Linked DNA regions of Schizosaccharomyces pombe. The main gene of each other region encodes a partner of the protein of the gene in region 3 in a complex. Each region holds a gene or a part of one and is shown on either strand. Other genes may lie near its edges. The genes, in order: mrps16, rsm27, SPOM_SPBC3H7.04 and mug178.

Region 1 (7,653 bases), 1.3 Mb from region 3:
GATGAATATCCTTGAGCGACGAGTGTTGGGAAGGACACATAGCGAAGCGAATACCAAACAGTCGTTTTGGATATGAGTCAAGGAGAACGAAAGGTATTTATAGGTATTTAAAGAATGAAAAGTTTCCAAGACAAAAAGAGAAAGATTAAAAAAAGAAAAAAGAAAAAACACTCAGTAGTAATGGAGAGAATTCGAATTTCCGAACTTCTTGTTGATGAAACGCTAACCGCAAAAAAAAATTTAACAATACACCGTTTAATAAACGAGAAATTAGAAGAAAAGCGGGATTATTTCAAAAAAGGAGAGGAAGCGAAAACTAAAGGAAAGATAGAATGGGTGGAAATTGTAGTAGGAAAGCAAATAAAATTGGAACCCAAGAAAACGCCTATAGTAGTTGTCTTTGAGCGAAGGAAAGTATAAAACAACAAAAAATTAGGTTTTTCCTCTTTCAAGTTGAATTATTATGAAACCGGGTTGAACAGGAATCTTCAAGGTAAGCGACCCCAAGAACGCACTCGTTCACGAACTAACCAAGTAAACGAGACAAGATGAACAAGCTTGACAGGATAAACAATGAAAGAAGAAAAACTTATAAAAACTAAATATATAAAGGGGAATATAGTAAAAATTGGCCCCCAAGCTGCGTTATAAGGAATTGACAGCAATTATATGATGACGGAGAAGAAAGGAGTAGAAACTGACGCAAGGCAGGATGTAAACGTCAAATCTTCAGGTGTTCCGATATGTAATGAGTCTTAAAACTGCTACTAGCCTAAAACCTAGCACCGTTCATCCACAAAGCGATGTCCAAAGAAACGTTTCAATCCGATGTTCCTATTTTGCTTGAATCCGTCGACACAACACACTGACTTGACAGTAACCGGGAGTACGATGGCAAAAATCAATGTCAGTGGATCCAGCAATTCGTAACAACACCAAAAGAATGGGCAATTCAGAACAAGATCAAAATGCTAACTAAAAGAAGCCTAGGTGTTGGGAAATCTCAAAATACCAATTAACCGAACTCCCCAAACAACGATTCGTACGAAAGCAACAAAAACCCTCTAAGATTCAATCAATAGCTTTCTTGATCACTAGAAATTTTCAAGAACGGATGGAGTTAAATATTCAACAGGGATGCGCAATCTACGCGAGTCTTAAGTTATGTTTTGCTGTCGCTAAGTAGAATTTATGGGAGGGAGGAAAAAGCTAAAAGTAGACGAAGCCGCTTAAGCTAAGGAATGTCTATAGCGATTAACATTACGTTATAAGGATTGCGTGGTGAAAAGAAGGTTGGCAAACTACGCATTACATGAGTAACGTTCGTTTATGGTATCTCGTATACGCATTCTACAATCGCTTACAGTATTCCTGTTTAGCAAACTCGATACAAGCAAAGCATACCTTGAACAACGTGGAGAATGCTCGCTTTGTAGTATTCGTGTTACCGTAATTCGTGCTGTATCTCACTCCGGGGGTAGTGAATATGATCAATTCACACTGCTTATAAAGAGAAATAGAGTCAGCAGGAAGTAGAAAGATAAATGGAAGGAAAAGAACGTAATTTCTATCCCAGAAAACGTTTGAAATGATCTTTTGAAATTATGTTTTGTTTGTAAGTATGAACGAAAAGCAAGGCACAACGCTATTTTATAAACAACGGAGTGCACAATACGATACGTCCATCTGCTTTCCATCCTTGATACCTGCATTGTCTTCGTGTTTACTCAAGTTGCTCTTAACCATACTCCTACCACCAAGTGGGAAAGACGGGATTTGTAGGACTCGTTGAAAACCGGCTCTTCTCAATGGTAGTAAAAATTCGTTTGGCGCGTCATGGCGTCAGAAATAGACCTTTTTACCATATCGTAGTTGCGAATGCATGGTAAGTAGGATGAAAACATACCTAGACGGTTGTTTCGTGTTTTACAACACTTGTAGCGGTTCACGTAAAGGGGAAAGTTTTTGTACAGGATTTAGTAAGGGAGATGGCTTGATGTGGGTTATGAAAGAATGGAAGATAAAATGCTAAAAGACTGCTTTTTTTTGACGGTTCCTTTGGCTCTAAATTGCGATCTTTTTTAGAAGCTTTAGTTTTCAGGTATTCCTGGATGCTCTCATCTATTTAATCTAGTCTTTCTACATAGTATTCAAAATGCCAAGGACACCAACCACAATTTTTCTTATTAATTGACTATTTATTGTGGTTTGGCCCCCTTGGCCTCTATTAACTGTTTACATATCACCTGTACATCCTTTTTTTTCTCCTTCATCCATTCCTGTCTTTTGGTTCGACTTTGTTAACTCAATATAGGAAAGCACCTCAAGCCAAACCTATCGAAACCATCGGCACTTTTGATCCCATCCCTAAGAAGATTGATTCTCAGGACTCCATTCCTCGTATAAAAGATATCCAGCTCAACGTTGAACGTTTTAAATATTGGATAAGTGTAGGAGCACAACCATCCGACACCGTCCGCTCTTTAGCTGAAAAGGTATGCCCAAGCTCTCTTTATCTATTTTTATGACTAGTCCAAATTCGTTAAACTTTCTTTCAACTCTCTTTTTTGACTAAAATTTTCGACCCGCTTGCGATATACCGCTCGGGTGATTTTTCTCATGTTCCCTAACTGCCCGGCTTTCCGAAATGGAGTGTAGGATCTCATCCCTGTTTTCGTTACGATTTGGCTACTAATTTACTTGTTTTACTTCTTTCTATCAATCTATCAATTCTTACTAACGTTACTTTTTTCACTTTTAGTTCCAGTTGCTTCCTAAAAAACCCGTTTCTTGAAACTCACTATAATCGTTATTGCTCAAGTCATGACATTTCTTTTTTACGACCACTTCACAATGTCTAGATATCTTTAACACATTTTTTATTTTTTTTTACACTTTATCTCTGTGATCACGCTAATTACCTCTCTCAACTAAATTTCATAATTTTTGACCGATTTTACCCTTCCGTACTGTTTTTTTAAAACCACGTTTTTTGGCTGAGTGCGATATTTGTTTTCTTTACGATTCTTTTTATTACAATATCACCTTTTTTTTTTTAATTCCTTCTCCACATTATCGTTAGCGTAGTGATATCTTAATTTCTAAATTTTTTAAAGTGTCTATCTATCTGAGGTTATGCGCTAGTTGAAAGCGCTCATAATTTGATGCTATCCATTTGTAATTACTTGTTGCTTTGTACTTAAAATTGTTTGGTAATGAGAAATCTTGGTACCAATATTTTGCCTTTGTAATTTTTAGCTTTTGCGTTTATGGTTAAAATGGATCTTCACTTTATACTGAAACTTCATTTCGTTTACTGATGTTATACCCTTATTTTTTTAGAAACAAATTAACAGCTTCATTTCAAATATTTAGGTTAATATCGGTGTATCTATTATTGCTTAGATTTTTGGACTTTCCGTTCGGAAACGGCAATGCGCTTTGTTGCTTTCCTGATTTCCTCATTCGTTTAATTGGAACTGAACACGTTCATTAATAGCCAATTGCAATAGTTGTACAATTCTAACAAATCATTCCTGTACTTCCGTTGAATTTATAAAAGACTTGTCTCAAAGGATTTAAAATCGTTCAACAATGAATATTAACAACTTAATCGTTTGTAACAAAATATTATAAATGGTGAACTAGCCTTATAAGCTAATTTATTAACTGTACCAGAAGCAATTTACTTTGGTATTATTACCATATTTCATCAACCAGTCCAACTCTACACCACTACATTTATTCATGCACCGAACAGTGTAATTTTCAATTAATGCATTAAATACAAGCTAAACATCACAAACCAAATAGTATGTAAAAATAAACTTGAAAAAGAAAGCGAGAAATCACTTAATGAAAAAAAAAAATCTACTACCAAATCTCGAAATGAGTATAGATCAAATTGCAATGCTTTTTCCCTGACATGCATATGTGTAACCGACATATAAGTAATAAACTAGTATACCGCATAGATAATCTAAATGAAAAGTGCTGATTTCGTACTAAAAGCCAACCGTTAAAAGAACCTTTAGTAAAATCGTTGATCGTAAAACTTCAGTTGAACGTTTAAAGAGCGAAAGATACCTATATACTTTCAAGCATTATTTTAAGCCCTGATTGCACAACCAAGAGAGCTTTTGGGCCAATCCTCCCAAAAGTAGAAAAAAGGACACTGTTAAGGACGGAAAACTATAGCAGCCCGAAAAGCACACATAAATTTAAGAAACAAAAATATAAGTAACACAAATTTATTCCATCCGTTTGACAGGTTGTTCTCCTGCTGGCAATGAAGGATGAGTGTCACCAATGTAAATCCAGAAGCCTGGTTCAATAACTTCTAAAACAGCTTGGGCTAAAGCATTCCTGGCATCGCTATCATGCTCTTCCCATTTGAAGTATCTTCTGGCCCAAACTGCTCCCTCTGCTTCTTCTTTCTTACGCATATCACGTTGTGATTGTTCGATTGTAGACTTTTTCGAGCTTACAATATCATAATTACCACTGGCTAAGGCAGCGGACACTTCTTTCCAAACATTTCGAGACTCCCAGTCTCCCATTTCTGATTCAGGCTTGACGGTAATAGGAGTAGCTTCAAGACTAGGGATGCTTAAGAAAAAAATGGTACTTTTCAGACTAGGAATAGTCAATTTAGATTCGCCAGTCCATACACCTTCAACAATATAATCAGGATCTTCATTTTTCTCAAAGATAGTAGCCTTGAAAGAATTCTTGGTACCTCTGAAGTAACCTCGGCCGGAATAATCGATCTTTGTAATATAATTTGTGTTGCTAACAATATAAGTCGAACCGTACAATTCAATATAAGGTGCCATAAACCACAGTCCTTCAAGGGAGATATTGGGCAGAGTTATATAATATGTCTCATTATACTTTTCAAGATGAACACGAAGCTGGCCGAGTTGGTTGACGTATACAGTTCGTCCTGAAAATCCACTTCTGTATTTATTATGCGTATCAACGGTGATACCGGCTTCCTTACAAACCACATGAGCAGCTGATTCAGGTCCGTGATGGGATACTTGCTCGGCAGTAAGCTCCACTTTACCCTTGCTAGAATCCCATGACCCATAAAAAAGCTCTCCCAAAATAGGGTTCAACGGTTTCTTTTCAGTACCATACTGAAATTTTGGTTAACATTACATGATAAAATTTTATAAAGACGTACGTTCTTATTCCGGGATGCGTATTCACGACTAAGACCAGTTATGTACCACTTGAGAACAGCCAGCATACGTTCTTTAGGAGTGGGAAAATCGACAATTGTTACGAATAGCTCAGGAAACTCAAACCAATAAGACATGTATTCGAGCAAAGATGTCCCTGATAAAATGAAAGAAGGAGCTGAAAGTGTGGACAAGTCACCAGTACTGTGAAGTAAAGTTAGTATTCAAATACAGATTAAAAAGAGCAATCGACATGAGAAAAAGACAATTCCTCTCTGAAAAACAAAAAGAAAAAAACTAGAAAGTTATGAGATGGAAAATTAAGAAATGGCGCTGGAAAGTCCTCTTTAATGTTAGACTCGAAAGGACAATAGCACATATCAATATGAAAGCTAAAGGCATGACAAGCAAAGAACATGAGTAAAAAACAATTTAACAACAGCAAAAATAAGCACTTGTCCATATTTTGACGCGTTATTTCATTATCTAAACCAGCCAGCCATTTGAAAGCCGGGCAAATTGCTGGAAATAAGACAATTATAAGCAATTTTACGCTTAAAAAAAGTTCCTTTTATATTTCAAATTTTTACAAAAATCACATAGATTTGAATGAAACTAAAAATCGAATGAACATTTCCCGTTGGAAAAGAATGCATCGTGTTCAAATTTACCTTTTTTTTTTCTCAAGATACCATATTTCCAATTTTGTTTCTTTTAACTGAATATACTTACAATGTAGCCAAGTTCTTGATGAACCCCTTTTTTGAAGAAAAAGTAAGTAAAATGTTACAATGTCAAAGAAAAAAGTAAGATTCCTTGCATAAGGCTGAAAGCAGATTGATTATGCCTTCAATCTTATAGGACTCAGTACAATTCATACCATCCAAGTGCTCCTATCATAAGGAAAAAACATGTTAGTAAAATGTAAACATTTGATTAAAGAACATATGTGGTACTTACTTAGAAATGGGTTCATTACCAGATTGCACAGTCTCTTCCATTTGTTCTGATGTTTCCGACATTGTCGATCGTGTAATTAAATGCTATCGTGTTTGGTAAAAGAATAAAATCGACAGACCATGGATTGGGCGATGTTGGTTCGACTGCTCTTGCTTAACGCAGTCCTACTATTCTCCTACGTCAAAATAGTGTCATTTTACAAAGGGTACACCATTCTGCACTGTAATTATACTGCAGTAATGACTTTATTATTTAAATTATTTAACGTGGTTTATCGTGGTATATAAAAGCTGCAAAATGGTCAGTAGAAGGCACGAAGGATCGTAAATAAATGACTATTTATGAGCAAGCAAAATACATACGAAGCTTTTCTTATTTGATTAGCATTCTTTAATACATTATGTATAATATTTTTTACATAGAAAGGTTGTATGCCTTGCATATTTATACCTAGCAGATTCGAAACTGCCAGCTGGTAGACGCATGTTTTTACGACTTTTTAACATAATCGATGTTTGTTGAAACTAATTGTTTATTTAATTATTTAAACAGTTAAAGTACAAAAAAACTTCAAGCGCGCCTCCATTTCTAACAAACTACTACTCATTATTGTCAAAGCAATCTATTCAAATGTACCAAACTATCTGTTATAATTACAAGGTTATGGTGGGAAAAGTAATCTTGTTGGGAAGAATTGATTTTAACATAAAGTTAGCTATTGCCGAACGATAAATCACATGTTCGTTTCAACAAAAATGACATTTGTTGCAAAGGTATAAAAAGTTGTGCGAAATAAGAAAAGACAAAAAACATGATCTTATGACAAGAAATGTTAAAAAAAAAAAAAAAAAAAAAAAAAATTGGGATGGGATGAAAAGAAAGGTATGCAGACATAAACAACAATAAGCAAAGGGAAAATATAAGGAGAACGAAAGAAAACAACGCAAAAGAGATAACCAAACAGATGGCTATCAAATTAATGAATGAATCAAACGCAAAATAATCAAGTAAACACCACAACAAAATCTAGGTGATTCATCTTCATTTAAAAAGGTCGGAGAAGAGACCTAAAGAATACAAGCACACTTAAATTCTTCTCAAGAGCTCACAAATAAGAAACGGAGCATAGAAAACAAATGTTAAGCAAAACAAAATCGGTTGAGAATTAAGGAAATAAAAAGTTTTCAAATATGTATCTTTGCCAAAGTAAATTTGAACAGTTATAAAGTTTTTGTACAAAAGCTCGAATTCCAAGGAAAAGTTTAAGTTACCATTAAAAAATGTGGTAATATTTATCATAATGTTCGGAGACATTGATTGGTGTAATTTCCGTACTTTGGGATTCAAGAGTTTCTGGTATACTAATTTGAGAATCTTGGGTAATAGATTCTGTTAAAGGCAGCTCCTCCTCATTCAATCTAGCTCTTAAAGAAACACCACGGCTACGAGTATAAGATCGGGACAAATTTTTCTTGAGTTGCTGAACTTGTTGCTGATCATGCACTTC
Region 2 (8,802 bases), 1.2 Mb from region 3:
TTTATATACTTAAGCGGTTCAGGATCTATTTTATTAGCCATTGTAGGCACATAAAAAACCGGTCTTCCCATGCAAGCGTTTATCGCGGAGCATTCTTCTTCAGTAGAAAAACGGACAATATAATATGGACTAGATACGGGACCAAATGTCTCATGAATATAGCCTATAATACTTCTGTCTTCAAAACATAAAACCGTTTTTTCATCAAAAACAATCTTTTCATCGTCGATATCACTTTTCACCACTACCTCTCGCTTCAAGACTTGTATAATTTTTCCCAATGGTTCTATTAACGAATTAGGCTGAAGTACTATTTCTGGCTTCTCGTAAATTTGTTCCGGTAACTCATTCACCGTTTTGGGAGGAGTACTAGGAGCCATCGATTCCGCATCAGACTTTTCCTCTGCTTTCTCTTCTTCTACATCAGTTTCGGAAAAAGAAGTATTACTCTCTGAATCTGAAGATGAGTCTGAACTTAAATCAGCAGACGATTTACCAATAGAAGAGTTACTATGCGTAACCTCCGCAATTTCATCAGCGATTTTTACATTGGATTTCTCGGATGAATTAGTAGCTGGAATGCCAACTTCTTCGTTGCTAATGAACTCCTCTTTTGGCATGAGCAAACCTGATGATGGAACAACACAATCCTTTGGGTTAGCCAATGCAACATCCAATAAGTCGATTTTGTTCTCATCTTGATAGTTTTCCTTGTGTTGGTTTATATCTTCTGTTGAAGAAAATAAAATTTCATTATCTTTTTGCTTAATTTCGCCAGAATTCGCTGAAGAAATATTCTGAAAGTTAACTATGTTCGGTAGATTATTTTCAGTATTAGTATTCAAGTTGTTTTTATCGATTGGGTCGCCCTGTGGGGTATTGATATTATCGATAGATAAATTTGAAGGAATTTGATCTTCTTTTACAAAATTTGATGAACTTGCGTTTGTAGACAGTTGCTTCGATTTTTCAACTTTCGATTCATCATCATAAATCAACGAAAGCCCTGGTATTTTACAAGGGAGATGCGGATACATAAAAACGCCTTTCGAAAAAGTTTTCGGTGCTTTCAATTACGGGATTTGGCAGAATATACTGAGACTAAGTTAGCAGGACGTAAATAATAAAATTTGATTTATATACAATAAAAACATTATATTCATAAATAGAAATAAAACTAAATATTAGAATTAAAACTAATACAAAATGAATTCATCTCTATGCAACATATCATAGGCAGTGAAGCGTAGAGTTACTCGCAAAAAAATAACAGTGGCTAAAATTTTTAACTGATTTTAAAAGCTATTTTGTTCACGATCCTAAAAAACATATAAATTTGTAGGAAACAGTACTAAGGCATCTAGGTTGAGCAAACCTCAAAATATGTTACAGCCTAAGTGAATATTGGAAGCTTCACCTGTTTGTATTGTAAAGCGTACAGCTACTGTATCGAATAGTTTAGGTCATTAGTTAATAATTGGATTAAAAAAAATCAATAGCGATAACAAATCATGACTATCTAACAAACATCAAACTCACATTAAAGATTGGAAAAATGAAGAAACCTTTTGGTAGCCTTCATCAAAGCGCTTCCTTTGTTCGGGGTTGGAAAGGTCTGCGCGAGCAGCCATCCAACCATGGAACATGTCGCTGAATGTTTCGAAGGAAGACTTGGCATAAGCGGGGTTTGTCTTGAACGCTTCTTCCCATTCTTTGATGATTTTAGCATCTTCGTCTTTAGAGCAAAGAAACAATACAGGACAATGAACATTGGCTGCATCAGCGCTATCAGGGAAGGAAGGGTGACAGCTAGCAATTCCAACGAAATCAATTGTAGCGGGATAAGTGACCAAAACTTTAGCACCCCAACAAAATCCATAAGTGCCAATAGTAACATTTGGTCCATGGTTAGCGCGCACAGCTTCTACAACTTTAGCAAGTTTCGGCCAGTGCAAATTAGGAGAAATTCTAGTAGAAAAAAAATCATTGCATAACTTTTGGTCCTCTGGCGTCTTAGGGGGTAAAGCAGTAACTGGCAACGGCTTTCCCTCTAAGAAATCGGGTAAGTAGACGGTAAAGCCATCATCTGCCAATTTATCAGCACCCTCTTTAATTTGATCAGAGAGACCAAATATATCCATGAAACCAATCAAAACACGGGTATTGGAAGTAGATCCAACAACATAGGTGGTCAATCCTCCAAAGTTTTCAATTTCTTTACCCTTAAAGGTATAGGACTTGTTAGAAGCTGCGGCACCACGACTTGTTGGACAGCAAGAGGCCATTTTCTTAAATTAATCAATGGTTCGTACAAAAAGTAACTGTACAAGTTTATTAAAAAACCACAATAAAATGGTAAGTTGGGTGAAATTTCGTCAGTACTGTTGGCTGTATATATATATCATATCATACACATTATGTCAAAAATCGGCATTGCATATATTATAACGATATTCTCTATATTTCCATGGAAAATAATATTATGTATCAAATAAACACTGACTATAATTAATAAAATATACATCCTTTTTAATTGCAAAATGTATCGCGAGTATTAAAATTGAAAGCGGATTATTTTCTTTATTAATGCTTACACATAAACACTGTGTATCCATGATATCTTACGGCCGCATGCTTTAGTCCTTCATAAGTGTTATCCAAAAAAAAAAGAAAAAAAAATACAGCGTATGACTATTCATAACAAGTATACAAAGTAAACTTTTTTTCCTCTATCATCAAACATATATTCTGAGAAGTTTGTGAGTCGGTTTGTTTAGATGAGAAATAATAAACTTGCAGTTATGACACAATACCTACCAAAGATGCTATACACGGGACATACATTTATTAGTTGGGATTGCAATCATTAATTATCGTTTAAAAGTCTACAACAGTTGGTTTGCATCTATTGTAAAAAGAGGATTGTAGCATGCCAAATTATGAATTTACGGTCTCATTGAACGTCAAAGGCGGAAAAAACCAGGAAAACTTTAAGTAGTTAAGCTATGTACTTTTGTCGAAAAGTTTATGTCTGAACATTTATCTCTAAAAACGCCTTACCTTTGTTAAAGTCTTTAGAAAATGTGAAAAACTGCAAATTAAATATTGGTCTGTAGCTTATAAAACTATCTTCAATCTTTAATAATGCAAGAAATAATTTTTTGACTTCGCGTACCAAAGAAACCCTTATAACGCGTGTACTAAATATAACTTTTAAATAATACTGTCAATAAAAAGTCCGAAGTTAAAAAAGGAACTTTCTTTCATCAATTTCCAACTATAACTATTCAATCTGTTGTTGGTTTAATCATCAGAAACCATACATTGGTTCAAGGCTTGTTTATACTCAATGCTGTTGACCATTAAATAAAAAAAATTCCATGTCAAGCTAACGAAATTGTTTACTTTTATTTTCGCTAATGAATTATGTAGTTTATCATAATACAAAGCAGCTTTTATCTCTACATGGCTAGTACAAATCATATGGTGATGAATTTACTGTTATGAAAATAAAGTAATGCTTTAAGTATATTTGAGGGCTTCAAAATTCATAGTCACTGATGCACCGGAATCAATAATCCGTGCAATTATGCATCAATTTGAACCACAACTTTAGGCTGTTTTAACTTCTCGTTCATCACCTTTTTGTCGGTGTTTATGCTCTGCTTTTCGGATATCGCCCTTAGGAGTTCAAACGATCTATTGCGGCAATCAATTTTGAGCACCGTATCTAGTGATAACAAATTATCTTTATCGGTTAAGCACGTTATTGCAGCTGCTTCAGTATGTACACATTTCACTATTTAGCAAAAATAAGATGAAACAAATGATACTACTAAGAGGTTATAATCATATCAGACTGTTTAACCATTCTTTTGTCATTTGCAATAAACACAAAATTTATAAAAGTGGTAGTATTCTTGTTAATCATCTACGTACTGTATTTAATTTGTTGTACCATAAGCCAACTCGAAATATTTTACCATCACACTGTTCTACTTTGCCCACTACACATATACAACAACACAGCGGGATAGCCCTAATTTTTAACGAAGTTAAAAAGAAGTTTGAGGGAATTTAAAATGATTCGTCTTCAAAAGTTTGGTGAAATTGTTGGGACCAGTCGTTCTTGGAAACTTCTTAGTTCAACCATCGCAAAGCGCTATTCTTCTTCTTCCAATGGAGTGAAGGAAATGACCGTTCGTGATGCTTTGAACAGTGCAATGGAAGAAGAAATGAAACGTGACGATCGTGTCTTCTTGATTGGCGAAGAGGTTGCGCAATACAATGGTGCTTATAAGATATCTAGAGGTTTATTAGACAAGTTTGGTCCTAAACGTGTTATCGACACTCCCATTACTGAAATGGGTTTTACTGGTTTGGCAACAGGTGCTGCTTTTGCTGGTTTACGTCCTATTTGTGAGTTTATGACTTTCAATTTTTCCATGCAGGCTATCGATCATATCGTTAACTCGGCCGCCAGAACCCTGTACATGTCTGGTGGTATTCAGGCTTGTCCTATTGTCTTCCGTGGACCTAATGGGCCTGCCGCTGCAGTTGCTGCTCAGCATTCTCAACACTTTGCTCCATGGTATGGTAGTATCCCTGGTCTTAAAGTAGTTTCTCCTTACTCAGCAGAAGATGCTCGTGGTTTGTTGAAGGCTGCTATTCGTGATCCTAATCCCGTTGTTGTACTTGAAAACGAAATTCTTTATGGTAAAACCTTTCCAATTTCGAAAGAAGCGTTGAGCGAGGACTTTGTGCTTCCCTTTGGCCTTGCTAAGGTGGAGCGCCCCGGTAAAGATATCACCATCGTTGGTGAGTCTATTTCTGTTGTTACTGCTTTAGAAGCAGCTGACAAGCTCAAGGCTGACTATGGTGTTGAAGCTGAAGTTATAAACTTGCGTAGTATTCGTCCTTTAGACATCAATACTATCGCGGCCAGTGTTAAGAAGACAAATCGTATTGTGACTGTTGACCAGGCATATAGTCAACATGGTATTGGTAGTGAAATTGCTGCTCAAATTATGGAGTCTGACGCATTTGATTATCTTGATGCTCCTGTTGAACGTGTAAGTATGGCAGATGTTCCCATGCCTTATAGTCATCCTGTTGAGGCTGCTTCTGTCCCAAATGCCGATGTTGTTGTTGCTGCTGCTAAAAAATGCTTGTATATTAAATAACAAGCTCAATTGTTGAGTCATCTGTTTAATAAAACCCGCTCTTTTCCCTTTTCCGAATAGTTGATATCTACGTATTTCGCTTTCTATTATTTTTACATTATCTACAAAGTGTAAATATCTAAGATGCTTGTCTTTAATGACTCAGATTATTGTGTGTGGGTCTTAGATGGTTTTAATTTCTTTGCAATTATTTGCGAAGATATGATTTTTCCAACCATCTTTCCAATTGGTTATCCGGGTTGGTATATCTACCTTTCAGGATAGTTTTGCTTCGTTTATCCTTAATATATGTTATATTGTATATATTACTAAATTCGTGTAAGTTTTTTAACGTAATCTGAAAGCCAGTGAACTTCAATTATATTATATTACAGCTAATGGAAATAATACGCTATATGAATATGTTCAACTATTTGGTGTCTATTATACTCTACTTAACTACTCGTAACCTCTTAAAGCGTAGAATATTAAGTACTTGATCCCACTAAACCTATTTACAGGTCTATCTTTAGTCAATGCACCAAAATGTTTCCATGTGGGGTTGATGAACTACTTATCCCACATCATCCGCTGTAGTATATCTAAGTAGACTTGCGCTAATAATACTTACAATAACAGAATTTCAGAATCCTTGCAGATGAAATCATAGTAGTGTCTTTAGCCTTATTATTGTTGTTTTTATTTCGTTTTGCCTTTAACTTTAAGCAACCACATTCCCTAGGAGCCTTCCCTAATTTTTGGTATAAAATCATGGCTAGCAAAGCAATCCTGGAAGAATTAAATATTCTCTCATCAAAAATATTTGGCACTCAGTATAAATCAAACAACTCGAGAACGGGTCGCAAATTTGTAGTACAAGAGCTGAAGGGAGCAAAACTGAAGAGCTACTATCCCGCAACTATCAATTATCGTCAATTAAGGACCCTTTTAAATGATAAAACATTTCCCGATAGTGATGAGGAATTGCGAATGGAAATCAGGAAAGGGTATGTTAGTTGTTAATTGAGATTGAATGTTTCTTTCACAAGAAATTAGCTAATTAAAATACTAGGAGAATACGCCAAGGAAAAGGAGCCTCCAAGTCAAAAAGTATGTAAAGCTTACTATAAAACCGAATTAGGAACCTTCTAACTCCTGTTTAGAAAAATAAATAATTGAAAATTGTGCCTTTCTAATACTTTGCGGTTACATTTCGCACATTTTCTTTCCAATTATTATCAAATGGGTAACGGCTAAACAGCTTTGAACGAAACTGATAAACTAAGTTTAATTATAAAAATTTTGTTGTTTCATAAACAAAAAATATTATATATCAACTGTGTGCAACAATACTTAACATTTTGATCAGTCGTAAGGAAATTTTTTCTGATGAAAAAGAAGATCTCGCAGTTTTCTAATAGATATTCTTTTGGTCGGAAGCATAGCGTACTGGATATTGTAGAGTTGCTCAGCAGGTATCGCTGGAACTGGGCAACCTACGAGCAAACTAATCAAAGTAGTTTTTGAAAGGTAATGCGAAATTAACCTACGCGCCAGTTTCCGATAATGCTCAAACATGGATCCAAGAGACATCGGTTTGGAGTTGCAATTGAGATATAGCGTTGCGAAGCCGTCTTGTTTTAATGGTTCAAAGCTGACTATCTCAAAATTCAGCCCACTTGGTATTCTATAAGGATCTTTAATTCGTAACATTGTAACAAATAATGGGAAGTGATTCAGGAAGGCTAACATAGTTTCACAGATTGCCAAGCATGTCATCACGGATACTCGTGTTAATGCAAATGCTGCATAGAAAACATATATTGTAGGTAAGAAGAATATTAGTACCGTAAAAAGGATTGTTCCTAAAAGTAGTTGGTCTAAATCATACTCATATGAGTCGATTCTATTTCGTAAAACGTTTCTTTTTTTTCCTCGAAAAAGCTGCAGCAAACTATAAATTACACGTAGCTGCCAATTATACAAACGTGATGAAGCCAAATAAAGCAAATGTATATGAATAGTCATAACACTTAAAAAATCAGAAATTAAAGCGATCATTAAACTAGCACCCCCAAACCCAGAAATAGCGACAACTTGAACCAAAAATGGAGTCCAAGGCAAACAATGCAAAAGAAAATTACTCCATACGTCAATAACCCATACAGAAAGCTTCATAATAAACTTGCAAATGTCGTTGTTTAGTTTTAATCCAGCAGGAGTATCCACGAGCCATATAACCATAGAACGAACGTTTTTTATCGCATACTCGAATGTGATATTTTCTATTAATTTTACCACCAGATGAAGATTCTCTAAAATAAATGAACTCATTGTAATCCCAAAGATCATGTCATTCGCAACCAACCAAAGGTTGTTATAGAATCTAATATATTCTTTGTAATCCTCTATCGCAACGCGCTTGCTTTTCCGAAAAACCCATAATTTCATATATTGTACAGGCCAAAAACACGCTTGTTGCAACCTCAAATCTACTTGACGAGCAGAAACGAAAATATCCATCATATTATAAGATAAAGGAATCGGTCGGTAATTAATCGCCAAGAGTATAACCTCATTAATTATCCTCAATAATATGATAAAGTAAGCAAACAGCGAATTAAAAAAATAAAAGGTTGATGACGAGACACGATCAAAAAGTCGAAAAACATATGAATTTTTTTTGTTATTATTTTCATGTGTTAACATGCGAACCTCGAAGGATTGATTAAGAAGCTCAATTAAGCCTGAGCGTAGACTCCTTTTCCAGCTATTTTCTTTGCGTCGGGGAAAGTGCAATTTCAATTTTTTTAACAGTATTTGCTGGTGTTGCATGCTTTCGTATTCAGGGTTTGACTTGTTAATAAAACTATCTTTTAACAATAAAAGCGATAGAGGTTCAAGGGAAAGAAATTGCATTTTTCTTGGCTGCGGAGGATGATAATAAATTATATGCAGATTTATTTTTAAAGGCGTACTAGCCGAATCGAAAACTCGGGGATGAGAAAGCTCAGTCGATTGCTGCACTTTGATCCAACAATCAATTTCATATTTGTCACCCGGCAAAATATCGGCAGAGCAATTAAACGTGCCTAATATACACAGAGATTTAATATCTACTGATTGATCTTGATTTTTGCAATAATCAACTAAAAAATTAGCGAAGGATTGATAACTAGTAATTGTTGTCACAACGATAAGATCGTTGGTAGAGTACTTCCAACCAACTAAGTAACCAGAATCGGTATAAGAGATCGTACTTTTGGGCCAATATATCCGTTTCACTTCAATTGGAGCCGAAGCTATATTCATGGTTGTGGTAGACATTTGAAATATAATATTGAATGCTCTGAAGTCAATTCCGAAGTGTTTAATAAAAAAGACAAACAAGTAATAACAGACTTTAGAAGCATACAAAAAACTTTTGTTAAGAAAAATATAACAGGAGATGATACTGCTCTCTCCGGTGTTTAGAACTCAAGTTGTAAAATCAAAAACTTCCTCGACGTAAAAGCTGTTCCCTTGCAGAAATGCCACCGCTAACTGACGTTGAGTTACGAGCTTCGGATTCAGCGATTCGTTCTAAAAGAATGAAAATAAAAAATCCTAAAACGGTAAACAGTAGTACGTATGAAGGAAC
Region 3 (7,317 bases):
TTAATGATCTTACTAACTCGATTTTTTTTTTTAATTAGGCTGATTCGAAAATCAATCTTCCATCTTTGCAAAACGCTCTTTACCTCTTGGGTATTGATGAGCAACAACAAAAAAAGCTATTGGAAAACAAAAATTAATTTAGAATTTCCAAGAATTTTTCAATCGCAAGGCGCTGTCAAGAACTCTGAGCTACTGTGGCTTGGTTTTTATAAAGCAATATTTTACTTGTGCGCGTGGTCTTTTTTTCTGTAGTAGGAGCCGTCTTTTATATACCCTACTTCTTTATTTTTGATACTCTTATTTTTCTTTTTCCTTAATTTACAATTTTGGTATGATCAATGCTTCATTGGAAAGGGTGTGCAATGAATGCTTAAAAAAAAAGGGGCAGTTCAGAAGCTTTCTTCTTTAAAACAGACAAGAATTACTCAATTGGTTTTTATAAAGCCGATCATTTACTCTTAAATCTGCTTCGTTATGCTGATAGACTTTGAAATTGATTCGTGCAATGACTACACCTTCGTTTCATAGACCTTTCTTTATTATCATTTATTAATTGTAAATAATACAATTGTATCTAGTTATTAAGAGTTGCAGAAAACATGTGCTTTTGACGTATTTCAACACCGTTTCCCTTGTATATATTCAGAGGTATTCATATACTACTACCCATGCGAGATTCATTATGGCTAAATCACCATTCCTGGAGCTTTCTTACGATATATTGCTAGAAATTAGTACATATCTTGATTATAAAGATATAGTTCATTTGTCAGAAACATGCAAGTCACTTTCGTATGTTTTTGACGACAAAACAATTTGGCATCGATTTTGTGCACGGGTCCAAGGTCTCACCAATGTAGTCCCAGTTGTTGATGATAATTACAAAAGACCCTATGCTGTATGGAAAGACCGAGGATACGCTTACTCATGGGGGCAACAGATAAGAAACTATTTGGGCCGCGTCGTCAATACAAATCAGTATCCTCGAGATCGTCCTGGTGCATTGACTGGGAAGGACGTTCGTTCTACTATTCAGGTTCAAGTTGGGTAAGCGCATAGATACAGGAATTTATTTGACTGCACTACAATGACTAACTATTCCCTATGCGGAATTTAGAGGTTATGGGATGTATTTATTAAATGAAAACGGAAATTTATATGTTACGGGGGTACCAAACAATGTTGGGCCCGAATTGATGAGAGATTTAGAGCCAATTGTGAAAATCCATGCTGGTCGAGAGTTTTGTCTTGCACTCGGTGAGACGGGACACTTGTATCAAGTATCTCTAAAAACACGAATTTGCTTGACAGATGAACAAAATATGCTATCAGCCTATCGCGGAAGAATTGCTAATTTTAAATCAGGTTGGGACTCGCATTCGGCGTATGTGCCGGGCATTGGCTTTCTTGTCTGGCACACTGGACGAGAAAGTGAAGCGCAACTTTTCCAGCCAGAGGCATCGATGAAGGAATTCGTGCTGAACGATTATGTTCACTGCGCAGGATTCCTAGTGTATACTGTCGCATCACCTCAGAAAAAAGGCGCCGTGTTTCGTTTAGACCTGGACCAAGCTACACAACACACGCTAGGAAGAGAATTGAAGAGGTTCGCTTCGCACGACCCCCATCAAGGTTGGCATTTAGCAGGCAGCTTTGAAACTTTCACATGTTTATCGGACGATGGCAATACTGTTTACATGGGTCATGCTAATACCAAGCAGGTCGATGATGACCCGGTTATCCACGACTTTCTCCAGAACCGAGGAATTAAGCAATTGGCGCATGGCGATCATCATCATCTTTACTTAACAAGCGATCATTCCATATGGTCGTGGGGTGTTGAATTACGTTATTGTGGGTGTTTAGGTTTGGGTTCTCTTCATTTGCAAGAACAGACATCTGATCCCAGCATTGTTTCTGATCCACGCACCGCACGCAACATCGTTTCCATTCCACATCAAATTCACTTTTCAGGAACTTGCTATTCAGTTGCAGCCGGCGGATGGCAAAGTGCTGCTCTCGCCATTTCGGAATCTGTTTTACCCGAAGTCAATGTGCCTCCAATTACAACTTTTTCTATCATCCGACCATCCAGAGTTCCAGCGTTGCGCTTTTTAGCTGCCCCTGCGACTCGGACTTTGGAAAGGGACGGCTAGGTGAAATAGTGATCAACTTTGCTTGGTAAGCTAATTTCCGCGTGCGCACTAGAGAAGGATTTTATTTTGTCCGCTAAGTAAGTGAAATAAATAAATATCTCGGCCACCTCGGACTTCCGAATTTATCTCTATTTTTACTAATTCCTCTAGGTAAGCCAATTATAAAAAAAAGCAGCACAAGGAAAACACAACGGTGATTAAATAAGTGAGAAAATTTTTTTTCCTTCTTCCTGTATCGCAATTACATAAAGTACACACATTGACCAATTTATATTCCTGACCCCTGTGAATTAAGTTACTGTGCTACTACGACGAGTTTTTACCAAACATTATTATTTTTTTTAATTGATTTGGACTGTAAGGAAGGTTACCGATTTTCATATTAAATCCTCGGTGGTCAAAATTTGTTGGGCTCTTGCTCTCTATTTGTCGTTTGCGTTGGTGGTTTGTAATATTCCTAACCACCCCATTTTTTTCTGGCGACCCTAACTTGGGGGTTTTGTTTACAGATCCAGGTGTCGAGAAAACCGGTATTTTCAGGCAGAAATCGATCTTAAGAGACGATTTTTTCTTGTTGGGTTGACTACCTTGTACCTGAAATCTGTTGTGCGAAAATTTCCAGATTTAAAAAATCGTGGATTGATTGAAGGGCAATTGAAGATTACGGGATGCTATTTTCCTTTTCATGCAATTAGCAAGTATTACTGATTTATTTGTAATTCCACAGTGTCTGATTTATTTTTGTTAACAACTATATTATAACACTTTTTTTTCTTTGCCTTCATCATCATCATCATCATCATCGTTGTTCTTTGTTTCTTTCAATAAGCATTTTGTCATTTTCTTTTATCATTATTGTCTTTTTTTCATATTTTTGTCGGTTGACTGATTGATTGTAAATAAAGTCTCATAGTTATATAGAGTGTGGTTTGCCTTTTCTTATTGTTTCGCCTTGTCTTGTCTTGTCTCGTCTAGTGTTGCTTGTATTGTCTTACCCTATCTGTTCTTTTTCTTCACTTTTGTTTTAACTGCGAATTTTCTTTCTTACTTTTTTGCTTTTCTTCCTTTCCTATTCCTCCACTATAAAGTTTTCGGCGTTTGATCATCTACGAACACGATCTAAAATTCAATTACTTTCATGTATCCATTTTCTTTCGATCCTTCTTCCAAACTTCCAGTCACAGGTATTTATAACATCCTTCTGTTCAATCTATTCCCTTTAGCTACATACCTTGTCGAAACCTTTTGTTTTTTTCGCCGGTGGAAAATCGCCTGCACTTTGTTATGTTCCATCACGGTTATACTGGCGTATCGCATGTGTGCTGTCTATCACCATGTTGGTTATAAGGATGTCTCTACATTTGGTTTGGCATATGGCTTTCTCATTATGATGTCGCTTCGAACTTGCTTTTTGAGTTGGCGAGATATGGTACCTTCTCGCAACGATCCTGTACAAATCAGCGCTGTTAAGCGTCGTCGACCATTCATTCGTAACGCTAGGTGGAACTTTGTTGATTATGCACTTTCTTTGCGCAAGTATGGTTGGACTGACGACGTGGTTCCCCCTTACTGTAGAAAAGTGCTGACTTACAAATCTTTGGGGATACGTACTGCTGTCTATGTGGGTGCATTTTGTTTTGTCAATTGTTTTAAAACTCGTTTATCCAATTGGATGTTGCTTCCTATATCAGCCAACCCATGGTATATTCAAGTCGCATTTTGCGTAACCTCTGGATTCTTTTCATATTTGTTTATTAATGCCTTGTACTATTTATTCGCCATTATTTTTGTTCCTCTGGGAATTTGGGATATTGCAGAGTATCCATTAATGATGGGAAATGTATCTAAAACCACCTCGGTTAATGATTTTTGGTCCAGAGATTGGCATGTTTGTACCAAGCCCTATTTCAGAGTGATTGCTTGGGATCCAACTATTGCCCTCACTGGAAGTAAGTTTCTGGCAAGTTGTTCATGTTTTTTCCTTTCAGCATTATTCCATGACTTTGCCTATTGGTCAATTTCTGGACGCTGTTCACCTGCTTTCTTTTTTCAGCTTTTAATTCAACCTTTCCTTATTAATCTTGAAAAAAGGATTCCCCTCTTGCGCAAATATCATTATTGGGTCCTAATAATCGAAATGCTTATTAATGGAACATATGGTATGGGAGTCGTATTATTAAAATTTAAGTGGAAAACATGCTCGCAAATTTAATTTACTGTTTAATGTCTATGTTTGACCTTCCGAAACCTCTAAAGTATCAGATAATTGCTATGTGTCCTAGTTTATACATTTAATGGATGGTTCAACTAAATTAACTTTTCCGTAGATATTGTTGGAATGTTAAATAATATATAGAGGGAAACATTACATTTAGCATTCTAATTCTCATTCTTTGCCAACAGTAATTACAAAACTTTATTTATTTATAAGATTTGTTAATAGTATGGGTTTTTTCAATCAGATAAAGTGAACCCATAGTAAGCCACCATGATCACTTGCATACAAAACGTAGCCGGGAGAGGAGGGGAGAGAAGTAGAAAAAGATTGAAAATTGTGCAGGATTCAGTCGGGTTAGCTAAAGGGATTCAATGCGCGTAGCTTGGAATCTATTGTTGACGACCGTCCAATTGATCATATCCCACCATTTTGTAATGTACATTTTTTTACCATTTAAACCATAGTCGTCAAGATACGCATATTGCCAAAGGTTAACGCATAAAAGCGGTACAATTGCATTGGTACGAAACTTAGGAAATCCTGTTCCCCAAAGAAAGGCATTTGACGCATTGTACGTGCATAATAAGGAAAATAAAGATTTTTCTGGACTATATACCAACCACAGCCAACCATCACCAAAAACTGAATTGCCAACGTCAACCATTTGAGACTTCAACTCACCAAATGAACCGAAGGATGCATCAATTCCAGGCTTTAGGTTGATAGCTCCTAAATCTGCATCTGCAGAGGGCCGTTCTGGAGAAATAAGGCCGGAAAAGAAAAAATCATGATTTACCAATTGGCTAGAGTAATTGAATAAATTAGCGCGGGCTGGGTCACTAGCGCTTTGAACCATTAAATCTGAAGGCACACGATACGGAGTTTGATGAATTTTACATTCTTTTTGTACTAGGCCTCGTAAGTGGTTGTCATAAGCAAAGATATTCCTGACCGCATCTTTTGACAAAAAATTCTTGTAGCCCACGTCCAACGCTCTGGCGAAGCGCTGTTGAAAACTCATTTGTTAAATTGAGGTAATAGTTAGGGAATGGGTATAAAAAACTGCAATGGAAATCAAGTATGCGGGTTTAAATTTTGTAATCCTAAGAAATTGGCAAAGACGACCAAACTGTATAATTAATTCATTAAGTATTAACAAAATATGAAAATCAAATAGTGTAGATGCTACGTTTTTGAATGTTTGAAATATTTCAACTTCAATATTGGTAAAGGCGTTCCACTCAGACCGCTCAGAGAGAGGTAAGCAGCCCTACTGGCGCAAGTAAAATATCGGTATGAAAGTTCTGCATTCCTTGTTGCGATATATACCATTATACCACTATATAAATTTTTGAAGTTGAATTAACAGAAATCTAAAACTTCGTTGAAACTTAACTAGTATTACAATGAATTTGTTAACAAGTTTCCCAAAAAAAATTGTGAAAGTAATCTTAAAGCGTTCAACGGGTTTAAACGGTGGATTATAAAAGCCTTTATTCCCAATATGACCATGATTCAATTTAAAAGTAAGCTGTATGACTCATTTTCAATCAAATTTACTTCGTCTTTTATAAGAAGATTCATTGACTTGAGAAGAAGAAAAATAACTTTAATATTCGAATGATCACAACTTTTATGTGAAAGAACTGTAAATATGTTAAACGTTTATAAATGACAATTGTGGCCGTTTGGTCTAGTGGTATGATACCATCTTAGGGTGATGGTGGTCGTGGGTTCGATTCCCACAACAGCCCGATTTTTTTTTTTGTCTCAGTAATTCAAGAGACCCTCAAATTTTTTATGTAACCGTTTAGATTGCAGCCTAATTGTTCAAAAGCTTACTCAAATTTGATCTAAACATTCGTGATTAATCGTTTATGAAACCATACGCTAACGATTAATTAGGAATTGATACAGGTTCATAACACCGTTCATGGATTGGAAACATCTACCATTTATTTTTAGTTTTAGTTAACTAAAATTGTAAGTGCACTGCATTTTTTTCGAAGCTTCATTTCTTTCATCGTTCAAAAAGCTGCTTTGGCAATAAAAAAAAGTTTAAGGTTATTTTTAGCCGAGGCTACTGGGATTGTTTCATATGCTTACAAGCGAAATAGGGAATAACTAGCTGCATACAAATGTTTTTGAAGAATACCTACCATTGGGGCTGAGCTAGAAGAAATATGGGATTTGAGACAAAAAGATTACTACTATATTAAGGAAGAACTGCTGAAACTTAGACGGAATAACCCAAGTATGCATACATGCTGCCAAGCCCGGTCTTGTTGCAATTTCAGGCTCTACACAACAGTAACAAGTGATTTATGGATTACGGATACTTTTTTTAAATTTAATATTATCTGGTTATAGTTAAAATAGAAGATTGTTTCACTATCCACTAGTTTTGGATTACATGCCATTAGTGATCAGGGCTATAAGCGAATAATTTTCAACGTTTCATCTGACCCTGGTACAATTTTTTCAGTAAGTCACATATTTATTTATTTTTATCCAAAATAAGAGCTAGATGCGTATTTTTTACAGGCCATGCCACAGTCTTTTTTAATTGCTAATGTATTAGACTGTGTCAATGGTACGAGACATTACTAACGAGTAAAGGTAATTTCTTCTATAGGATAGATTAAATATACCACCTAGAATTAGCGATGATTTTTACACAAACTCAGCATGTCTGTTTTGTAATTACCAATCCGTTTAATTTATTTGATGTGCGCTCAAAAGATATATAACAATAATCAAGGACAAGAAGCATGAATAATTGATGACATACTAACATACATTTTAAATAAATTTTTGTAATACAACTAACCGTAATACATCGGTTTTAGTAACCATTTTTGCAATTGAGAGTATATGTTCCTTCAGTTTAGCTAAGGTCTATTTATAACATTTCTTCTCAATGATGTCGTAAGTATTAATTGG
Region 4 (7,706 bases), 1.6 Mb from region 3:
AATTCTATGGAAATACTAACGCGTATTTAGCCATTTAATGGGTCGTTTAGCCTCAACGGTAGCTAAGCAACTTCTAGCAGGTCAAAAAGTGGTCGTTGTCCGATGTGAAGAACTAAATATCTCAGGACATTTTTTTCGTAACAAACTAAAGTATCTTGCCTATCTTCGTAAGGCCTGTCGTTACAATCCTAGCAGAGGCGCTTTTCATTTTCGTGCGCCATCCCGTATTTTCACCAAAGCAGTTCGTGGCATGCTACCGCACAAGACGACTCGTGGAAATATCGCTCTGAAAAATTTACAGGCATTGGAGGGTATCCCTCCACCCTTTGATAAGCAAAAACGCTTAGTTGTTCCGGCTGCGCTACGCGTCTTGCGCTTGAAGCCTTCTCGAAAATATTGCACTATTGGTCGCCTTTCTTCCGAAGTAGGATGGAAGTACAAAAACATCGTTTCCAAGCTCGAAGAAAGAAGAAAAATTAAAAGCGCTGCATTTTATCAGGCCAAGTCGGCTAACCAGAAACATATTAATGTTGCTAAAACCAAATCTTCTGTTAACGAAAAGCTCGCTGTTTTTGGATATTAATTACACCATGTGATCTGCTAGATATTTTATAATTGGAAAGTGATGACAGAGATGTATCCAACCGTATTGTAATAATTTAAAAGAGTTAATGAAAATAGAAAAGTTTTTCCAACGTTCATCATCGACAAAATGCTATGATAAACTAAAAAATATAGTTTAATCCATTAAATGTGTTTCAGGAGTCATTGGCATACCTAGGTTTTCTTGATCTGCACTATCAAACTTGCCCGAGAATGTATTTGAATTGGATTCATCTGAAAATGGAGAAGGATTCCAAGAATTACGATCGTATTGTTCCATTACCCTTCTAGTTTGTGATTTCTGATGAAAATGATTGTATTTCTTATGATTAGACTCTCGTGAATCCGTATTACTAGGATTAGAGTCACGAGTACGCAATCGTAACACTGGACTAGGCTCACAATATGCAACTTGAGCCCCTTTTACGAAACGATTAGGGGGCTTATGATATATAGATGAAAGTGTGGAAATATTCAGCATTAGTTGCTCCGTGGTATCGGGATCGTACATTCCAGTTCCAACATTCACTGGAGGCATGTTAGCAAGTATGACTTTTTTTGCTAATTCAGGATTGGCTGACAACATTCGGGAGTATATTATACCTCTGTCGCGCAAATCGGGGTCATTAACTTCATCAGTGCACCACTGGAGGACATTGGTAACCATATCGGCTGCAGCAGTTGGTTTTTTTAAGAATACTTTAATCACCGCAGTAAGCAAAGTGAGTTGAATCTCCAAGGGTTCATCAAAAAAACCCTTTAGATAATCATTCAATAGCGTTATAGAATCTTCAATTTCTTCGGCATATTGGCCAAGTATCCAAATTACCGCAGACTTTGCATCAGGTTCATCAAGGGAATCCAAATTTTCGTAAAGAATCGGAACCAATGATTTGTAGCTTCCTGGGTATTTTCTAAGAATATCTCTAATGACAATAACTGCTTCTTGAATCACATAGGTGACTTTCGTATTCATCAATTCAATTAAGCTATCTATGCAGTCATTTTTTCGTTCCTCAATTTTTATGGCAAGGTAACCAATACATTTCACTGATTTTCGAACAAGTTCGACGTCAATCTCCGAGGCGTACTCGACGAACTCAGGAAGAATTTGATCTAAGTTGTGAATATCAGCAATTTTGGTTAGGATATCCAATTTTTCAAGCTTAACGTAAATTGGGTCATCAAAGTTACAGTAAAAAAAATGTATATCATTTGCAAACATTTCTGGGCATTGTTCCAATATTATCTGAATGTTCCTCAGAATTACATATTGTGTTGCAGATGATTTTCTAGCTAGCAATGTGACAAGAGGAGGTTGGGTCTTCATAAAGTATTCTTTAACTCGATTGTCATCTTTCATGTAATTAGTTAAATAAAGAATAACCTTTACAGCCCCCATGCACACAGCTGCATTGCCGTGTTGTAACCAAGGACTAATACGTTCAGCGAAGCTTTCGGCCTCGCCAGGCTTTTGGGGAACATAAAAAATTAAAGCATCCAAAATGGCAACTTGCAGCCACCTGAATTATTAGTATAAATTTATACAGCGAGGTTAAAAACATACTCCGAACAATCAGTGAGGCTCTTAACAAGTTTATTAGATATTTCCCTACTGAATGTGAGTTTAAATCCAGTAGATGAATTTACGATATTCATTAAAGCGGCTAAAGAGTTGGCAACAACCTGATATAAAAAAATTAGTAAGGTAATAGAATCGTATAACTTACAACCGAAGATTCATCACTAAGCATTTCTTTCAAATGATCGATTAATCCTGATGACTCCACCATTTTTTTATCATAGGAGTACAATTTTGCAATCCCAATGGCTGCAGTTTTTCGAACGTAAGGATCTGTATCATCTAATAACCTTACAATTGGATCCATAGCAGCAACCCAAAAGTTTTTGATGTTTACCGATGTCAATGTTCTTAAAGCTAAGGACCTAATCATAGGGTTGGAAGAATAAATGTCCTAAAAGAGGTTAACATCCATCATCATAAGAGATGTACAAATTAGAAAATTACATTCAAAATAAGTTTAACAGCTCTCTTCGCCTCTGTGGGTTTCACGCTGTCAATTAGTAAAAAATAAAGAAACTTTTACAAACCTCGCGTAAATTTTCAAGTACAAATAGCATAGTTTTTTTAATTCTAGATTATTAGATTCCATAGAAGATATCACCGATGGAAACAGTGAACTCATATCATATCCATAAGATATGCCTGCAATTGCTTTCTTTAAAGCAGAAATTCGTTTGTTTGCAGATTTGTCCTTATTATCTGAGCTGAAGACTGCTAGCAAATCAGCAGCGGTAGACTTTTGTTTAAGTTAGTAATTCCGAATTTTATGAAAGTTAAATTACCGAAAAATGACTTGAACTACTCGACATTATAACAACATGCTATGTACGTGTTAACATTCAAAATGTATTGTGGTATAATACTGAGTGTTATTGTACAAAGCAAAATAACGAGTTACAGTAAAATGCTTGAATAAAAGATTGTACGAAGAAAAGAAAAATAATGATTGCTAATAAAACACGATTTTATCTCTTAGTAGGTACTAGAGTAACTGGGTAATTAAGAAGCAAATTCAAAAGACGTTTACAAAGTTTATCGGATTTACAATTTAATACACTGTCGGGAAGCGTTGATTGATATAAGCTTATTAATTTATTTATGCAAATTTTTTAGCACGTGCGTACATAATATAAACCAAACAGAGTTCAATATAAACGGACACCCTTAGGAACATCGTAGGTTTCCAGTAATGCGATACGGCCATAACGAAAATTACAAGAACCAAAATAAGTTAAAATCACTCAAAAAACAAACAATAAAAATTCAATCTTTTTTAAACAAGAATGGTGGGAATAATAAACAAGCTTGTTGACAATATTATTTCCTAGAAAAAGTAATAGGTGTATAGAATCTCTCCATGAACAAAAAGAGGGAGAAAAAAGCGGTTCACTACAATGCAAAATAACGGTTAAAAATATTTAATGATCTTAAAGGCATATCATGATAGCTCAAGGAGAAAGTAGTCCGTGCAATTAATTTCCCTAACTCAAAAACTCAGGATCGTAAGCAGATGAAATAAATGTTAAATATGGATGGATCTTCATAATAGACGATTATCAACAGACGAAAACAATATTAAGAAACAATTCCTTGAAAGAAAAGCTATTGTTTTAAGAAAACCGAAGTGACTCACGGGAGAAATAATCGTTTTACTGTTTTTTATTGTCAATGTCAACTTGTATTATGGTATTAAATACTCCTATTTTCTCGTGTGATATTTGGAATGGTTTTACCGGTTTCATCGACATTAAGAGATCGAATTACGTATCGATTTTTTGTTGAAGTAATTCCTTTGAGAGAAGTAGCAGCTATAACTCCTGAGACACCAAATAAACATTCTTTAGAGTCGGGTGCAAATTTTCCGTAAGTAAATGGTAACGGGACTTTTTTAGTTTGAATAAAGGATACTAAACTTAGGCGCTTCTTTTCAGAATCAGAAAAAGAATCTAAAAGTTTCAATTTGGCGTATAATATACCTGGTGGAAGTGTAGGTCTGGATTTAGGATTTGAGCTTGAGAAAGTGTTGTATTTCTGTAAAAGGTAAGGGGAAATTTGTTCATAATCATTAAGCGGAACAGGGAGCTTAAGGTCGTAAATTCGTTTCAAGGTGCGTACGAATCTGTCACTGCTGATGAAGGCACACTGATGCTCGAATGTGTCAAACTTTTGTATGGAAATATGACGGTTTTTTAGGATCGGTAACTTCCTCTTAGCTCCCCAATCGCCGCGAAATCTTTGGCATTTCTTCGCAGTAATTGCTTGTAGGATGGGAATCTTCGTATCATAGACATCAGGGGAGTTCCTCGGCAAGTCTGGTCTTGCTAAACTAACTGCTCGGGAGCATCTCAACAAATCAGGAAACTTCATTATAATTTTGATTAAAGATATACTTTGTCAGAAACATCCAAATTCTGCCCAATGTAAACCACCACCGAAAAGTAACTGCTGAACGAAAGTGGGTACTTCTAATGAGTCAATATTGTCAATATCAATAGCAATCACTCAGAAAACACACGAATACGACTGTAATTTTTTGATGCCAGCTATTTATATACTTTTGTCGTGCAATCCAGCTTGCGAAGTGTTTTACATCAAGTGTGCACACTCATGAAAAGTATATACGAGATGAAATTCTCTCTATTAATATACAAAATTATGGCCAATGTTACAATAGCTAGTTTGAAGTTATAGAATCGCTTTCGTTAGGAGGTCATGTCGGCATGTTGTGTAGTAAACGTTCACTCTCCTCAAGTAGCAATGTTACTTGACTCGCACACTGTTGGATAGAGAAACAGAGTGCTTTAATTGTTTACACTCGAGTAAACCATGACTGAGTACGATTTTAGCTTGTACTTATTAAATTTAACGGGAATTTTTTTTATAATTATAAATTAGTAATACTAAAGGTATGGCTATCATAAGAAAAGTGAAACTTATAAAGGTTAACTTTCGGTAAATTTGTGTGTTCTTCCTTGTTCATTAATGAGTTTATCTCTACTAAACTAAACTATATGATTTTTCTAGTCTAAGTTTATTTACTGATAATTAATGAGTTGCTTGTCAGATCGTTTGTTGTTTATATTTGTCTATTATATTTGATCTTGAGATTCTGTATATCATGTAACAGATTTTTAAACTTTTTCTTTGACTATTTGTGTGCTTATTAGCTATCTCAAAGGCTTAGGTATATTATTACTTGTTCAATACATTATGATTTGCAATAATGCAATTGTTCCAGTCACTATTCGAGCTTGAAGAATAAATTATACGAGAATGAATACATTGCTTTAATACAATCGCTATTAAAATGTTTCGGTTCATATTCTACTGTAAGCGTATTATTCAACATAGATTACCTGACTACCAATAAAAATTTTGCTTTAACACACCACCAGAGGACAGGCAGGTTCCCTTACTACCCTACCACTTCTGGGTGTCTTTCTATGAACGTAATGGTTTCGTTTAATCAATTACGAAACTATTTTCTAGAAAGCAACAGCTTACGGCCATCGAAATGGCTTTTTCAGTCGTATGGTACTTCAAGTTCTGCGAATATCCTAAATGGAAAATTATTGGCAAGGTAAGATAAAGTTTATATTCTAAATTTTCTCTATGCAGATGAGCGTGCATTTCTGTGTTTGTCTTTGACGATAAAATTTTGGTGGTTTGAAAATTGATTTGCGTACATTGCTTAATTCCGTATATTCTTCAATTTTTTTGTCGATACTTAGAAGTTAAAAAATTGTATTGGGCATTGCAGCACGTTTGAGGTTTCATCAGATTTTTTTGCTCTTAAAACTTTATATTTTTATTTCTCTTTGAGGTTACTAATGTAGCGACTAATTAGAAAATTACAACGTTCTGTTGCTGAAGAAGTGCAGGCCTTGAAAGCTAAGGATCGAAACTTTAAGCCGGCGCTTGCCATTGTACAGGTTGGAAAACGTGAGGATTCTAACGTGTACGTTCGAATGAAAGAAAAGGCGGCACGATTAGTTGGTATTGATTTTAAATACTGCCCGTTTCCTGAAACAATCCAAATGCCTGCCTTGCTTCATGAATTAAAAAAATTGAATGACGATCATACGGTTCACGGTGTCCTTGTCCAACTTCCTCTTCCCAAGCATCTCAATGAGCGTACAGTTACTGAATCTATCACTCCGCCGAAAGACGTTGATGGATTTGGTGCATTTAACATTGGTTTATTGGCAAAGAATGATGCTACCCCCATTCATTATCCCTGTACCCCGAAAGGTATTATGGAGTTATTAAAAGATAACAAGATTTCAGTCGCTGGATTGAACGCTGTAGTTCTGGGAAGAAGTGACATTGTCGGAAATCCAATTAGCTACTTGTTGAGAAAGGACAATGCTACAGTAACTGTCTGTCATTCTAAAACTAAAGATTTAATTCAGCACATTTCTAATGCTGATTTGGTTATAGCAGCATTAGGCAAACCCGAATTTGTTCGTGGTGAATGGTTGAAACCAGGATCTGTTGTGGTAGATGTTGGCATAAACGCTGTTCAAAGAAATGGAAAACGCGTTTTGGTTGGCGATGTGCATTTCGAATCTGCATCCAAAGTTGCTAGCAGCATTACTCCTGTCCCTGGAGGCGTCGGACCGATGACTGTTGCTATGCTAATGGAAAATATTGTAAACGCTGCCAAGATAGCTAGAACAGAAAACATTTATCGAAAAATTGACTTAAATCCTTTAGAGTTAAAGAAGCCTGTTCCTTCTGATATCGAAATTGCTAATTCCCAAGAACCTAAATTAATTAGCAATCTTGCTAAGGAGATGGGTATCTATGACACAGAGTTAGAAAATTATGGGAACTATAAGGCAAAAGTAAATCTTGCTGTTTATGAACGTTTAAAGCACCGAAAAGATGGGAACTATGTTGTTGTAAGTGGTATTACTCCTACACCTTTTGGCGAAGGTAAAAGTACAGTTGTTGCTGGTTTGGTTCAAGCTATGGGCCATTTGGGTAAGCTTGGAATTGCTTGTGTCCGTCAGCCGTCCCAAGGGCCGACATTTGGTGTTAAAGGAGGCGCCGCTGGTGGAGGCTACGCACAATTTATTCCTATGGATGACTTTAACCTTCATATGACTGGAGATATACACGCTGTTACCGCAGCAAATAATCTTTTAGTCGCGGCTCTTGAAACTAGGATGTTTCATGAAAACACACAATCTGATGCTGCCCTTATAAAACGTTTGATCCCTGTTAAAAACGGGCGAAGAGTCATTCCACGAGGATTGATCGGTAGGTGGAATCGTATTTGCGCATCTCATAACATGGATCCAGAAGATGTTAATAACGCATCACCGGAATTACTGAAAGAGTTTGTGCGGCTAAACGTAGATCCTGACACCATCGAATGCAACAGAGTATTGGACGTCAATGATCGATTCCTCCGTTCTATTGAGGTTGGAAAAGCATCAACTGAAAAGGGACATGTCCGTAAAACTTCTTTCGATATCTCTGTGGCCAGTGAATGCATGTCAATTCTGGCTCT

The links.
Region 1: SPOM_SPBC3H7.04 (region 3) and mrps16 share a complex: the UniProt entries of both Schizosaccharomyces pombe proteins name them as parts of the mitochondrial small ribosomal subunit.
Region 2: SPOM_SPBC3H7.04 (region 3) and rsm27 share a complex: the UniProt entries of both Schizosaccharomyces pombe proteins name them as parts of the mitochondrial small ribosomal subunit.
Region 4: SPOM_SPBC3H7.04 (region 3) and mug178 share a complex: the UniProt entries of both Schizosaccharomyces pombe proteins name them as parts of the mitochondrial small ribosomal subunit.

The regions. Positions count from the first base shown.
Region 1 is NC_003423.3:554,085-561,737, forward strand, and holds mrps16 (mitochondrial ribosomal protein subunit S16), read left to right. Parts: upstream 1-1,740; 5' UTR 1,741-1,808; coding exon 1,809-1,885; exon of another isoform or gene 1,886-2,314; coding exon 2,315-2,495; intron 2,496-2,761; coding exon 2,762-2,794; 3' UTR 2,795-3,164; downstream 3,165-7,653. Other genes in the region: sre2 (membrane-tethered transcription factor), read right to left, coding at 1-40; osh42 (oxysterol binding protein), read right to left, coding at 4,251-5,141, 5,189-5,390, 5,919-5,944, 6,067-6,079, 6,147-6,208; Ca(2+) transporter Rsn1, read right to left, coding at 7,420-7,653. UniProt on the Schizosaccharomyces pombe protein: Component of the mitochondrial ribosome (mitoribosome), a dedicated translation machinery responsible for the synthesis of mitochondrial genome-encoded proteins, including at least some of the essential transmembrane subunits of the mitochondrial respiratory chain.
Region 2 is NC_003423.3:3,066,461-3,075,262, forward strand, and holds rsm27 (mitochondrial 37S ribosomal protein mS33), read left to right. Parts: upstream 1-5,793; 5' UTR 5,794-5,933; coding exon 5,934-6,169; intron 6,170-6,234; coding exon 6,235-6,272; intron 6,273-6,325; coding exon 6,326-6,333; 3' UTR 6,334-6,527; downstream 6,528-8,802. Other genes in the region: snoRNP assembly factor Naf1, read right to left, coding at 1-1,037; SPOM_SPBC30D10.14 (dienelactone hydrolase family protein), read right to left, coding at 1,536-2,285; pyruvate dehydrogenase e1 component beta subunit Pdb1, read left to right, coding at 4,083-5,183; gpi1 (pig-Q), read right to left, coding at 6,528-8,489. UniProt on the Schizosaccharomyces pombe protein: Component of the mitochondrial ribosome (mitoribosome), a dedicated translation machinery responsible for the synthesis of mitochondrial genome-encoded proteins, including at least some of the essential transmembrane subunits of the mitochondrial respiratory chain.
Region 3 is NC_003423.3:1,871,165-1,878,481, forward strand, and holds SPOM_SPBC3H7.04 (mitochondrial 37S ribosomal protein mS42), read right to left. Parts: upstream 5,618-7,317; 5' UTR 5,396-5,617; coding exon 4,733-5,395; 3' UTR 4,490-4,732; downstream 1-4,489. Other genes in the region: phosphoserine phosphatase Ser2, read left to right, coding at 39-137; F-box protein Pof9, read left to right, coding at 683-1,047, 1,118-2,156; SPOM_SPBC3H7.05C (uncharacterized protein), read left to right, coding at 3,295-4,368. UniProt on the Schizosaccharomyces pombe protein: Component of the mitochondrial ribosome (mitoribosome), a dedicated translation machinery responsible for the synthesis of mitochondrial genome-encoded proteins, including at least some of the essential transmembrane subunits of the mitochondrial respiratory chain.
Region 4 is NC_003423.3:3,443,336-3,451,041, forward strand, and holds mug178 (mitochondrial 37S ribosomal protein bS1m), read right to left. Parts: upstream 4,890-7,706; 5' UTR 4,556-4,889; coding exon 3,878-4,555; 3' UTR 3,181-3,877; downstream 1-3,180. Other genes in the region: rpl1603 (60S ribosomal protein uL13), read left to right, coding at 31-583; AP-2 adaptor complex subunit Apl1, read right to left, coding at 740-2,126, 2,171-2,289, 2,334-2,579, 2,633-2,678, 2,716-2,924, 2,971-2,997; ade9 (trifunctional formate-tetrahydrofolate ligase/methenyltetrahydrofolate cyclohydrolase/methylenetetrahydrofolate dehydrogenase), read left to right, coding at 5,632-5,768, 6,036-7,706. UniProt on the Schizosaccharomyces pombe protein: Component of the mitochondrial ribosome (mitoribosome), a dedicated translation machinery responsible for the synthesis of mitochondrial genome-encoded proteins, including at least some of the essential transmembrane subunits of the mitochondrial respiratory chain.